2 linked regions of the Arabidopsis thaliana genome follow. The protein of the gene in region 1 interacts with the protein of each later gene in a pairwise test. Each region holds a gene or a part of one and is shown on either strand. Other genes may lie near its edges. The genes, in order: SWI3C and AT3G01890.

Evidence for each region.
Region 2: the proteins of SWI3C (region 1) and AT3G01890 interact in a two-hybrid assay, tested with the Arabidopsis thaliana proteins (one study listed by BioGRID).

The regions. Positions count from the first base shown.
Region 1 is NC_003070.9:7,619,354-7,626,092, forward strand, and holds SWI3C (SWITCH/sucrose nonfermenting 3C), read right to left. Parts: upstream 4,814-6,739; 5' UTR 4,626-4,813; coding exon 4,610-4,625; intron 4,472-4,609; coding exon 3,941-4,471; intron 3,415-3,940; coding exon 2,876-3,414; intron 2,720-2,875; coding exon 2,362-2,719; intron 2,270-2,361; coding exon 2,196-2,269; intron 2,001-2,195; coding exon 1,915-2,000; intron 1,820-1,914; coding exon 1,752-1,819; intron 1,651-1,751; coding exon 1,475-1,650; intron 1,379-1,474; coding exon 803-1,378; 3' UTR 648-802; downstream 1-647. Other genes in the region: AT1G21695 (hydroxyproline-rich glycoprotein family protein), read left to right, coding at 1-432; OGG1 (8-oxoguanine-DNA glycosylase 1), read left to right, coding at 5,086-5,729, 5,947-6,157, 6,274-6,516. UniProt on the Arabidopsis thaliana protein: Component of a multiprotein complex equivalent of the SWI/SNF complex, an ATP-dependent chromatin-remodeling complex, which is required for the positive and negative regulation of gene expression of a large number of genes.
Region 2 is NC_003074.8:307,798-312,639, reverse strand, and holds AT3G01890 (SWIB/MDM2 domain superfamily protein), read right to left. Parts: upstream 2,634-4,842; 5' UTR 2,309-2,633; coding exon 984-2,308; intron 920-983; coding exon 868-919; 3' UTR 567-867; downstream 1-566. Other genes in the region: CYP94B2 (cytochrome P450, family 94, subfamily B, polypeptide 2), read left to right, coding at 1-281; AT3G01880 (vacuolar sorting-associated protein (DUF946)), read right to left, coding at 3,080-4,842.

The sequences.
Region 1 (6,739 bases):
CCAGTCTCTCCCTTCGCTCCTCCTCCGTCTTTCAAGCTGAAATCGCCTTCAGATTCCGACTCCAACTGTTCAGCATCTCCGACTCCATATTTCCGATCTTCTTCTCCTCGTGCCGGTGGCTCATTGCCTCGGTGTTTTTTTCCCAAGTCATTATTTGGGTTGAAAAAGAGTAAGAGCGGCGATTTAAAAAAGACCGGTCAGCAGGAACCATCATCAACAACATCGGAGTCTGACAATTTCTATGAATCGGGAACAACGCTTTCTCCGTCGGAAGAAGATTCTAGCCAGGGATCGCCGGTATCTTCGAGGTGGAGTTCGCCGAAATCGTCCTTCTCTTCTCGCCGTGGTTCGCCGCTAAAACGGACTGATTCGGATTTAAGCTCTTATGAGAAAAAAACCATGTTAATGATAGCTCGTTCCCGCCTTGGTTAAATGGTTAGGCTTAAAAAAAAAAAAACATCTTAGAGATTAATCAAATAAAAATGATTTTGAGTTTTTCATTGCGACAAGAACGAATATGTTACATGTAGATTTGTAATGAAATTGTCTATATATTATCGTCAAAATGAATCGAGTTAAAAGACCCCTAATGTTTGAAGAGTAGAGAAATGGTTGTGGGAAAGAGAGACATTAAGATTGGTGACTGTTTTAATTCACAATGATGATGATGATGGTTTGATACTACAAGACACTAACTTGGAACAAGACTACGGTCTCAAAGCCAAATAACTTATCTTTAAAAATAACAAGGTGAAATAAATATGGATACTGATAAGCTAAATAAGCTAGAGAAAGATGGATCTTAGTTTAAGCCTAAGCCGGACCCTGAGCCTGAACCTGTGGAAGACCTAACCATCGGGTGACTAAACGAAGGCTGGTTGATCGATGCTGCTCCAGCTGCTGCAGGGTTATTTAGTTGGTTGTTGCCAAACATGACGTTTGGTGAAGCTGTTGATCCTGCATTGGTCTGTATTGCATTGAGAGGTAATCTCGGGCCAAACGAGAAAGCTTGCTGTTGTTGTTGTTGTTGTTGTTGTTGTTGTTGTTGTTGTCGTGCCATGAAATGCATCTGTGCTTGAACTTGCGGGTTGTTGCTGAATCCTGGGATTATGCTTGGTTGAGAAGTTGCGGAAGCTTGTTGTTGCTGATGTTGCTGATGCATGAGAGAATTGATGTTGTTACCACCTGTGGATAGAGACATGCCTTGGAGATTATTAGTCTGTGGAGAGATTCCTCCAGGAGATCCAAATCTTGCTGAGAGCATACGAGCCCGTTCTGCAGAAAATCTCTGACGGGTTTTCTCTACTTGTTCGCATTCTTTCATCAACAGTGTTTCAATTTCTGCGAACTGCTTTAATTTCAGCTCCATCCTCTTCAGCTGCGGTTTTTACTCAGATCAGCAATAAACACTATACAACAAAATAAATCAACTACCTACAGTAATTCTCATCAGCAACTGGTTCTGCTATTTTACCTGGTGATTAACGATATTAGCAGAAAGTCTCTGGATTTCGCGTTCCTCATGATCAGCAAACAATTTTGCTTTTGTTGCTGCAGCTGATAGACCGGCTCTAAATGCTGCCATAACCTTATCCTGTGGCAGTGGAGTCTGCGCTTCTGCTCCGTTTTGGCTTGATGTTTTGTGTGCTCCTGAGTTTTTTTTACAATTAAAGCATGTTGGTGTCGCAGATTAGGTTAAAACAAAAGAGCAAAGAATCACTGTAAAGAGAACAATCAAATAACTTCCTTACCATCTTGCTGTTGATTTTCTCCATCAAGCAAGCTGGCTTCTTTCCCTTGCATTCCCTCAGATTTCATCCTAGATCAAGAAGTTTCAGAATAGTCCATAGTATTATTAAACTGAATCACACTACAGAGAATTTATATTGGATAGAGACTATATAATACACTAACCTATCGTCCTCAGATAAAACCGAGAGGGATTCATGGGCACAGGACGCAGCAACTCGAGGTCCAACAGCTGATGCCAAAAATGCAACCTAAAATATTTTGGTATCAGGATCCTCATATCTCCAAACTTATGTGCAATACAGGACCATTCTCCACTCAAAATATGCATACAATTGAGCTCTCAGATATAATCGATTCATGGATCAGAGATATCTCTAACTGGTGAGATCATAAGGATAATAAGAAGCGCATATGAAATCTGCATCGGAAAAAAGTTCACAAACCAATGCCATAACCGGATTCGGAGACTTCACAAATGGAAGCTTGATCTCAGTGTCAGAACCTTGCTCGGAATATCCTGCAGACGCAAGCGGACAATTAGTATGGCATGTCAAAGGAAATAACTATGGAAAGTAATTCATTGCTACAAATTGAATAAAACAAAATCACCAGGTAAATCCCCATTTGAATCTGTTCCTTTGTGGTCATATCCATTTGTAGGGTTTTCCGTATTAGTTACACCAGAAACCTCAACATTATCTAATAGACCATCCTCCACAGGTAATCGAAGAAAATGAAGAATGCATTGAGCTTTTGACTTGGAACCAACATGATCAGCAATTTGAACCCAATTTTCATTGTAGAGTTCCACAGCTTCAAGAAGCAAGAGAGTTTCCTGATCAGTCCAATTGTCTCCATCTTGATCGCCATAAAATTTCATTGGATCCACTCTTACAAAGTCAAGACAAGAATGTCCAACAACAAATCTTCCATGGTGAAAACAATCACAGCATAAGAGTATATCCCCCTGTAAAGTAGAGATGAAGATCCTTTAGTTAGAAGCGGTCCAGTATCCGAGACAGTAAGCAAGATAAAGCTTGGAGTCTATTACATCACTGGGTGCAAAAAAGAATCAGATAATGATACACAAAGAACAGTACGTAAGGGGAAGCAGCCTAAGAACCTTCTTTTGCGATTGGAAGTACACAGTTGGAAGCGGTCGAGAACAATGGTTGCAATGACTATCACATAGGTGTTCACGAATTCTGATGTCCAAGTCAGGGCTGTCACCATCCAAACTTGGCAAGGATGAATAGACTTCACCCCCCTTGTGTCTACAGTTGGGCTTGTCAAATTTGATCAAACTATCAATAGATGTTAAAGCAGCAGACGGCACATTGACCTCGCCATTTGTGTCCTCCCTCACATCCGATACATCTCTCAAAGGGCCAGGATGTGACTGGGCAGTGGCACAGTAATTGATTATTCCCCAGTGATCAAGAAAACGGAAAACTCGTGCAAAATCTTCAATGTCAACACCATCTACCAATCCTTGGCAATCAGAAATCGTCAGTGTCTTTTCAGGGTTCTCTACATATTTGGAAACAATGGCGTTCCTGAATTCCATATAACTTTCGGGTGTATGATTTGGCGATTTCCCAGAGAAAAACTGTGGCACCACTTGCCTTTCAAGTCGATCTACTGTGTTTGGTGCAAACCAATCTGCTCAAATGTAACAGCAAAAGTAGAAGAATAAATTCGAGCATTGGGAACAAAAATATCAGAAAATAAAAATAAAATAAGAGGAGAATCTCGATATATTTGAGCCATAGGACTCCAGGAACAAAACCCAAACGAATTAGAAGAACATCACTTGCATAGTCTATTCAAGTTGTACTTCTGAGATAAGACACCTAAGGCTACTTCAAGCCAGCAGGTACTCTAATTTATCATGTACAAAAGTTATAATACCTCTTCCTTTCCATCAGACAGAACATGGGAACATAGAGAAACATCTGATATGAAATTGAGTCGCGTTCAGATTAATGTAAACTAAGAACCAGGCACTAGACAAAAGGAAGATAAGAACTTATACGTTAAGGAGATACCGGCATACAAACCTGTTTTGACTAATTCTCATTCCAATCACAAGATATATACTACAATACTACCAACCAGCAAAAGCTGATGCTGCATAAAGCCTAACCTCTAACATAAATGCGCGTATCAAGAGGAAGAAAAAACACACCTGAATGCATAGGCAAGACATGAACCAGATCCCCAAACCGTTTAACAACTCCTTCTCCATCCATAATAGGTGGTGGAGAGATAACATAAGCCGAAGACGATCCATCACTCCTCTCAAGATCAAGAGAATCAGCAGGTACAGTAGATAACGCTTGCAATTGCCCAAACGAAATGTTCTCCAGAGCTGGAAGTGAACCTTGCCCTCTAGTCTCCCCTATCAAACCAGCTCTCTCAGCCGCCACAACAGCCATTACAGACGCGTGTGGCCGGATCACAACACGCTTAACCACTGCCGGGAAATCAGAGATGCGCGAACCAGAATCTTCAACTACCTCGCCAATACCAAGTCCCGGATCGGGAGTTGCGCCGCCGTTTTGCTGAAGCTCATCGGCATTTTCAACGTCATCCATTTCTTCGTTGTTGTTGTTGTTATTCTCTTCGTCTTCTTCCTCCATATCTTCCTCCTCTTGTTTCGGTTTCCTCGCCGCCGATAACCCCCCTCTCTTCTTCCTTTTCCATTTCCCTCTTCTATCTGCGACAGAATTGTAAAAAGTGTAATTCAATTCACACGAATTCTCGAAATACCCATCACTACGATCTATGTGGGTAAGTCAAATCCCAATTTAAATTTGGATTTTGAGAGAGATAAAGATGTGAAACAGCAATTTACCTTCAGAAGCTGGCATTTTTGTGGATGAAGATAGAGAAATAGAGGTTTTGGGTTCTGTGGAATCGAAGCAAGACCCTTAGTAAAAAGAATTGCTTTCTTTGTCTTCTCTCCTCCGAGTCGTTCTGATTTCCAGCTCTCGAGCTAAACACCAAACCTTTTTCTCGCAATTTCTTTCACCATTTCCTTCATTAATCTCTATATATTAATTCATTCTCCACGACGACCTAACCTTCTCGACAAACAAGAGGGTTCTGATTTCGAAATTCAAGCTTCGTTGACCAATCCAAATTTTGGTTTAACTTCGGTTAAAGTCAACTTTACTTCGGTTTTATTTTTCAATTTTGAATGAGAAAAACCGAATCAATTATTTAGTTCGGTTCTTAAAGTTCAAATTGGTTAAACCGGTTTAAATTGATACATTAGTCGACCGTCGCGCATTAATACTGGTGTGGTGGTTCCGTTAACGAGCAACGGCGATGAAGAGACCTCGACCTACATCTCAGCCGTCGATCTCTTCCACCGTCAAACCACCACTGTCTCCGCCGGTCACACCGATTCTCAAACAGAAGCTACACAGAACAGGAACACCTAAATGGTTCCCGTTAAAACTAACCCACACGGAGCTGACGTTGCCGTTAACTTTTCCGACGGGTCAAACATTCCGGTGGAAGAAAACTGGAGCGATTCAGTATAGCGGAACGATTGGGCCTCACTTAGTCTCTCTTAGACAACGTCCAGGAGACGACGCAGTTTCCTACTGCGTCCATTGTAGCACAAGCCCTAAATCCGCGGAGCTTGCGTTGCTCGATTTTCTCAATGCTGAGATCTCGTTAGCTGAGCTATGGTCTGATTTCTCGAAAAAAGATCCTCGTTTCGGAGAGCTAGCGAGACATCTCCGTGGCGCTCGTGTGTTGAGGCAGGATCCGCTCGAGTGCTTGATACAGTTTTTGTGCTCATCGAACAATAACATTGCGAGGATTACGAAGATGGTGGATTTTGTTTCGTCTTTAGGGTTACATTTGGGTGACATTGATGGATTTGAGTTTCATCAGTTCCCATCATTGGATCGATTATCTAGGGTTTCTGAGGAAGAGTTTAGAAAGGCTGGTTTTGGTTACAGGTGATTTCATCACTCTCTAATGGTTGCATTATGTTGAATTAGACATTTAGGCTAAAACTTTGCTTGAAGCTTATACTTTTATTTACTCTGTGGCTATACATTCATAGAATTGAAGCTAATGTTTGGTCTAAGCTAGATAATCATTGTGTGGCCGTTTCTCTGATTGGTTCTGATCTCATTTGAAAACTCTCATTCTGGTTTATCTTGTGGTGAGCAGAGCCAAATACATAACAGGTACAGTGAATGCTTTGCAAGCAAAGCCAGGTGGTGGTAATGAATGGCTTCTTTCTCTGCGCAAAGTCGAACTCCAAGAGGCAGTTGCTGCGCTGTGTACATTACCTGGTGTTGGTCCGAAGGTAGCAGCTTGCATAGCTCTGTTTTCTCTTGATCAGCATAGTGCTATTCCGGTTGACACACATGTCTGGCAGGTAACAAAGTCCATCGGTTTCTATGTATTGTACTTACTTAATTGAGATCCAATTACATAATGGTGATGATGACTTCGGGCAACTTTTTTTTTGTTCTGTTTTGGATAATGGATCAGATCGCAACAAATTATCTACTGCCAGACCTTGCTGGTGCAAAACTGACACCTAAACTCCATGGCCGAGTTGCAGAAGCCTTTGTGAGTAAATATGGTGAATATGCTGGTTGGGCTCAAACATTGCTTTTCATTGCCGAGTTACCTGCACAAAAAACTCTCTTGCAATCGTTTTCCCAGCCCATTAACAAACTGGATGAGTCTGCAGAAGTTAATGAAACTAGCTGTGATACGTTGAAGCCATGACTATGTGTCTACCTAAGCTACGAGGAATCGTTTTCACAACCCATTCTTGATGCGTCAAGTCCAGAAACTTGACCTTGGAAGAGCTAAGAAAATTCTGAAGCTGATGCAGTATTTGGCTCCCTGGCAAATGAGCGTAGTTATTTGTTATGATCATTGTTTACTAAGGAACCAATCTTGATATGTACTTGTAACTTTACATTCAAACTTCCAAATTAAATTCTAA
Region 2 (4,842 bases), on another chromosome or scaffold:
AACCAAACCGGTGGGCTGAGTCTTATGATAAAACCTGCTGCAGAGTTTTGAAAAAGGTGAATCCGTTCAAGTTTCCGGTTTTCCAAGCCGGCCCAAGGGTTTGTCTTGGGGAAGAGATGGCGTACGTGCAGATGAAGTATATTGTGGCTTCCATACTTGACCGGTTTGAGATTGAACCGATCCCTACGGATAAACCGGATTTTGTGCCAATGCTCACGGCTCACATGGCTGGTGGGATGCAAGTCCGCGTTCATCGGAGAGATCCTTCTCTTTCCCCTTGAATATACAAACAAAGTCAATTATCATGGCTTTTTATTTTATGTAAAACGTCTCTATGATCATTCATACCCAAAATTATTTTCTCCTTTGGGTAAACAACTCAACTTTTTTTTTTTTTTTTTCAATCCAAGTCATAAAGTCTCTACTAAATTTTTGAGTTTTGAAGAAAATTCAACCAATATTAGCTCAGTTATTATATTTTTGTTTGAAAATGACCCATTTTGCATTTGTTATCATCTTGGGATGATGACTATATTAAAAGTTCAACGTGAGAGCACAATGCCTTGGTCTTTTTCTATCCATAATAATACGTACGTTATTATTATTCTACAAGACTAGATCGAGCCAATTGGAAGTCAGTACGTGGAATCTACAAAAGAAAGTGAAAAAGTCAAGTATTTATCTTTCTTATATTTTGTCGCATATGATGCACGAGCTACAAACCAAAGTAAAAACTCTTGAAACTTGAGTAACAATGTTTCACTTAGAAAAAAAACCTATAAGGAACGACACTGATCAAGTGTCCTGGACCTAAGTGACTTCTAGGTAAAAGTAGTGAACTCATGAACTTCTTGGCCCATCTGCATCTTACCCGCCTGCTGGCTTCCGGTTCAAGTAACGTATTGCAGCATCCTCCACCCTGCAAGAGAATTCTCAGTGATTGTAAGACAAGTGATGAAAAGCAGAACAGTAGAGATTATTACCATGGCTGATTGAAGAACTCTGATCGGCCTTCTTTCTCAGCGTTTCGACTTGCTTCTCCTGCAACAAGCTTCAGATCTTTGGTCTGAGATTCCATCAAGGCATTGGTGAATTCCACCGGTGACTGGCTAAACCCTAAGAAAAACGCCCGTCTCCTTCTGTGCTCGTGGATTTTCCTTATGGCTCCGCATATGGCTTCATCACATGCCTCAATCTCTTTGTTCTTCTCTGGATTAGCGAGCAGATTGGAAAGCTCCGTTTGGACCGGTGCTGGTATGTCCACAAGCACATCGTAACATGCTGAGATGGCTGGATTGTTCCCCGAAAGCTTGATCTTGTGTACAAGCTGAATGGGAGGCGGAGGTGATAGGTGCTGAGATATCTTATGAGAGAGCATAGTGAATTTCATCTTCTCTTCCCCAAAAACACTGTGGAGAGCAGCATCACAGTTGAAGAAAGAAGGGTCGTTTGGGTTTTGCAGTTTCCTGACTTTCACGTAATGCCAGATTGCCGCAATGATTCTTGGGCGAGTGTCAACCTCAATGCCCAAAACTTGCATCAAAGCAGGAGAAGTCTTGAACTTCTCAGGGACGTAATTCATCTCCAACAGTATAGTAGCTGCAAACTCCTGACACCCTATCCTCTTTATCTCAAACCCTTCCAGAGGAGCAGGCGATCGATCCCTTTTCCATTCGATCAGATGGTTCTCAGGATACAGGCTCTGGTCCAGGGATATCTTTAACGTTTTGAAGAAAGACGAGAACTTGGGATAAAGTGGGTTTGAATTCTGAACTAATCCACCAGTGTGGTCAGGATCCAGGACCCTGCCGAAAATCCTAAGAGTCCATGTGGGAGGGTCAGGACCAGGGATCTGGTTGGAAAAGGTGTTGAAAACGTAGATCCTAAGGGTCTTCTGAATGGAAGGAGGGTTCTTAAGGGAGTCTTGGATGTCAACTTTCTTTCTGAAGAGAGCGGCATCAACCCGAGACTCAAACTCAAGAAGCTGTGTGTAGAGAGCAGACTCGGGCAAGACGGCAGCAACGCGCTCCTGCAAGGAGGACTTGTCTGGAAGCTTATGTTTCTTTTTCCTGGAAGCTGGAGTCAACTCCATACTAGGAGGAACAGCAGGAGGTCCTCCAATGGGAGGTTTATGTGGGAACCTTCTTCCAGGAGCACTAATCCCTTGGTCTTGAGAGAGCTGAAACTGAGGTTGAAAGTTAGGAGGGGCCATGTGGGAGGGAGCAAACGATGCAGAGGCCATTCCAAATGGCCAAGGCAGAGAGCTTTGAGGCCCTTTTAGTGCGTTCAACTCGTTATTCCCAGACATTGCTGATCACAAAAAATTGAATACAATCCCAAATTGGTGTCGACAGTAGTTACTCAGTAATTTTGGCTAGAAGAACCTCATCAAAATCACAACACACACACTCTATCGAATTTTGCCCTTTCTAAGCCGAACGTAACCCTAATTTAGTGCTGCGCGAGGATAGAGCCCTAATCAATTTCCCCCCAAATCTAAATAGTAAGATATAGGACACAACTTCTTCTTCTTCAATACAGCAGAAAGCGTATAATCTCAACTCCAGGAGAAAGAAAACAAATTCAATTCCCTCTGGAAGAAGAAGATGAAGATGATTCTTCTTCGAAAAAAAAAAAAAAAAAAAGACACGGCGGACCTATCAATGCCCACCTGAATTCTTCAACCGGGTCAAAACCCAACCATTAGTTAAAGGCCCAACGGCCATGGTTCGTGGGTCCATATTTAGATGGATCAATATTGCTTCTCGGCAATAAATCTAATTCCATGACTATAGGTAAAAAATCAAATTAAATCTAATCCAAATTATTTTTAAAAAAACTCTTAATAATCTACACCAATTTATTTCCAGATAAATACTATTTTTTAACTCTAAAACTAAGATCATGACAACCTTTTTTTTTCCCAAATAACTCTAAAATTTTTAATTAGCACATCTACATCTTAATTCTTAACAGATTCTATAGTATTATTGTTACTAATTAGAAATTACAATGATTATTTTCGACAAATGTAAACCTTATTGATATATAACATAATGCAATAATTCACAATAAAACACTAAGAATATTGTTCATCACCGGTCCAAGTCACCTTAACTTTGGGACCAGTTGGACCATCTTGACCCCGCATTTCTAAAGGAATTTTGTTGATGAGTTTTCGCAAACCTTTCCGTAAAAAGATGGGCAAAATCTTTGCGACAGAGTTGAGAAATATGTCAATCCTGTAATGGACTCGAGGTCCCCATTTCCTAAAATAATTCAGCCACGGTGGCTCAACCACGCCAGGTCCCGCAATCACTTCATATCCAATACCTGCGTCAAAGCATTTGTCGCTTCTTGCCATGTCGTTCCTTATTCCACTTTTGCCGCCACCTTGCAACACGACTCCAGGTTTGGAGAACATTGCATGCCCATGAAGAGACGAATATACTACTGGTTTGTTTCCACCTTGCATGAACTCTAGATCGCATGCATCCACTAAAGTTCCTCCACTGTGTTCAGAAAAGTAAACACGCCATAACTCACCATTGAAGTTGCTGATGCGTAATGTAACGTGTTCCCAGTCTCCAACATGCTCGCCAATATTTCCTAGCGACAGGCTCTTGATAAACAAAAATTTTAAATGTGCATTTCCGTTATAGGGAAAGAATAGCCATACTACAATATCTGTGAAAGTAGCTCCAAACATTGGTTTGATGTGTAGATACACCTTAGTGCTCTCTAAATCTCCCCTCTTAACCTTTTCTCTAGCCTTTTTATCGACTAGATAATCTAACCAAAACAAGTCATCATTGCAACCTCCTTGTGGAAGGTTTGAACCATTTGGATGTATCGGGACCGGGATGGATTCGTTTCCTTTCTTGTGTAGCAAGGCACCGTTAGCGAAAACCCAATTGACAGAGGAAGGAAGGAAATCTTCTTTTGGGTGTAAATATATCCAAGGAGAATACGTTTTAAACAAAACTCTAGTTTGATTTTCGCTTGGCATGCTTGACAAGTCAAATTTTGTATTTTTTAAGCAGAATAAAGGAGGGGGATGAGGAAGAAAGTTTAGTTGTTTGCAGCTGAATGTCCCTGTGAACACACCTGTCGCCTCTACTCCTCTCGTGGCCGGTCTCAAACTAGAAATAGTCATATCTTTTATCCTCCATACCCATGTATCGGCTTCACTCTGTTCTGTGAGATCAGATCGAACACAGCTTATAGAATTTTGTCCCAAAGAGGGCTTCATAGGAGAAGTAGTGACATATAGACCAACCGCATGATATCCATTAGGACATAGGGGCTGCCAAAAATATGCAGGCCCCTCTTGTTTGATAAGCAATGTTGTAGTGTTTCCAACTTCAGTGTAGTCGACTGGTGGTCTTAAATTACTTCCCGATACGTCTTTTGCAACAAGAATCCAACCAAAAAGCTGTCGGTTGTTAGGTTGTGCATAGAAGCCAAGTTTGAAGAAATTACGAGGAATAGTAGTTGGTTCAAAGATGCTGACTCCCATGTTATCCGGCCCTCCTTCATAAGTTCTCCACACTCTGTGTGATGTTGAGTTTGAGATAGAGATTTGAGTAACCTCAAGACCTCCCATATCAATGCTTCTTTTGCCAAAATTTCCACCATCGGAAGGCATACTAGGCAAAGGACTAGGAAATTTAAAGCTTGTTTCCACCGGTAAACCATTAGACGAAAGATAAGGATATTTGAATGGATACCCTAAAGAATTTACGTAGGAAATGTTGGTCAAAGGGTTAGTTCCAGTTTCTGCCCATGACAATTGCTTAACAAATAGAAAAACAAAAAACAATAGAAATTTTAAGTAGGTTT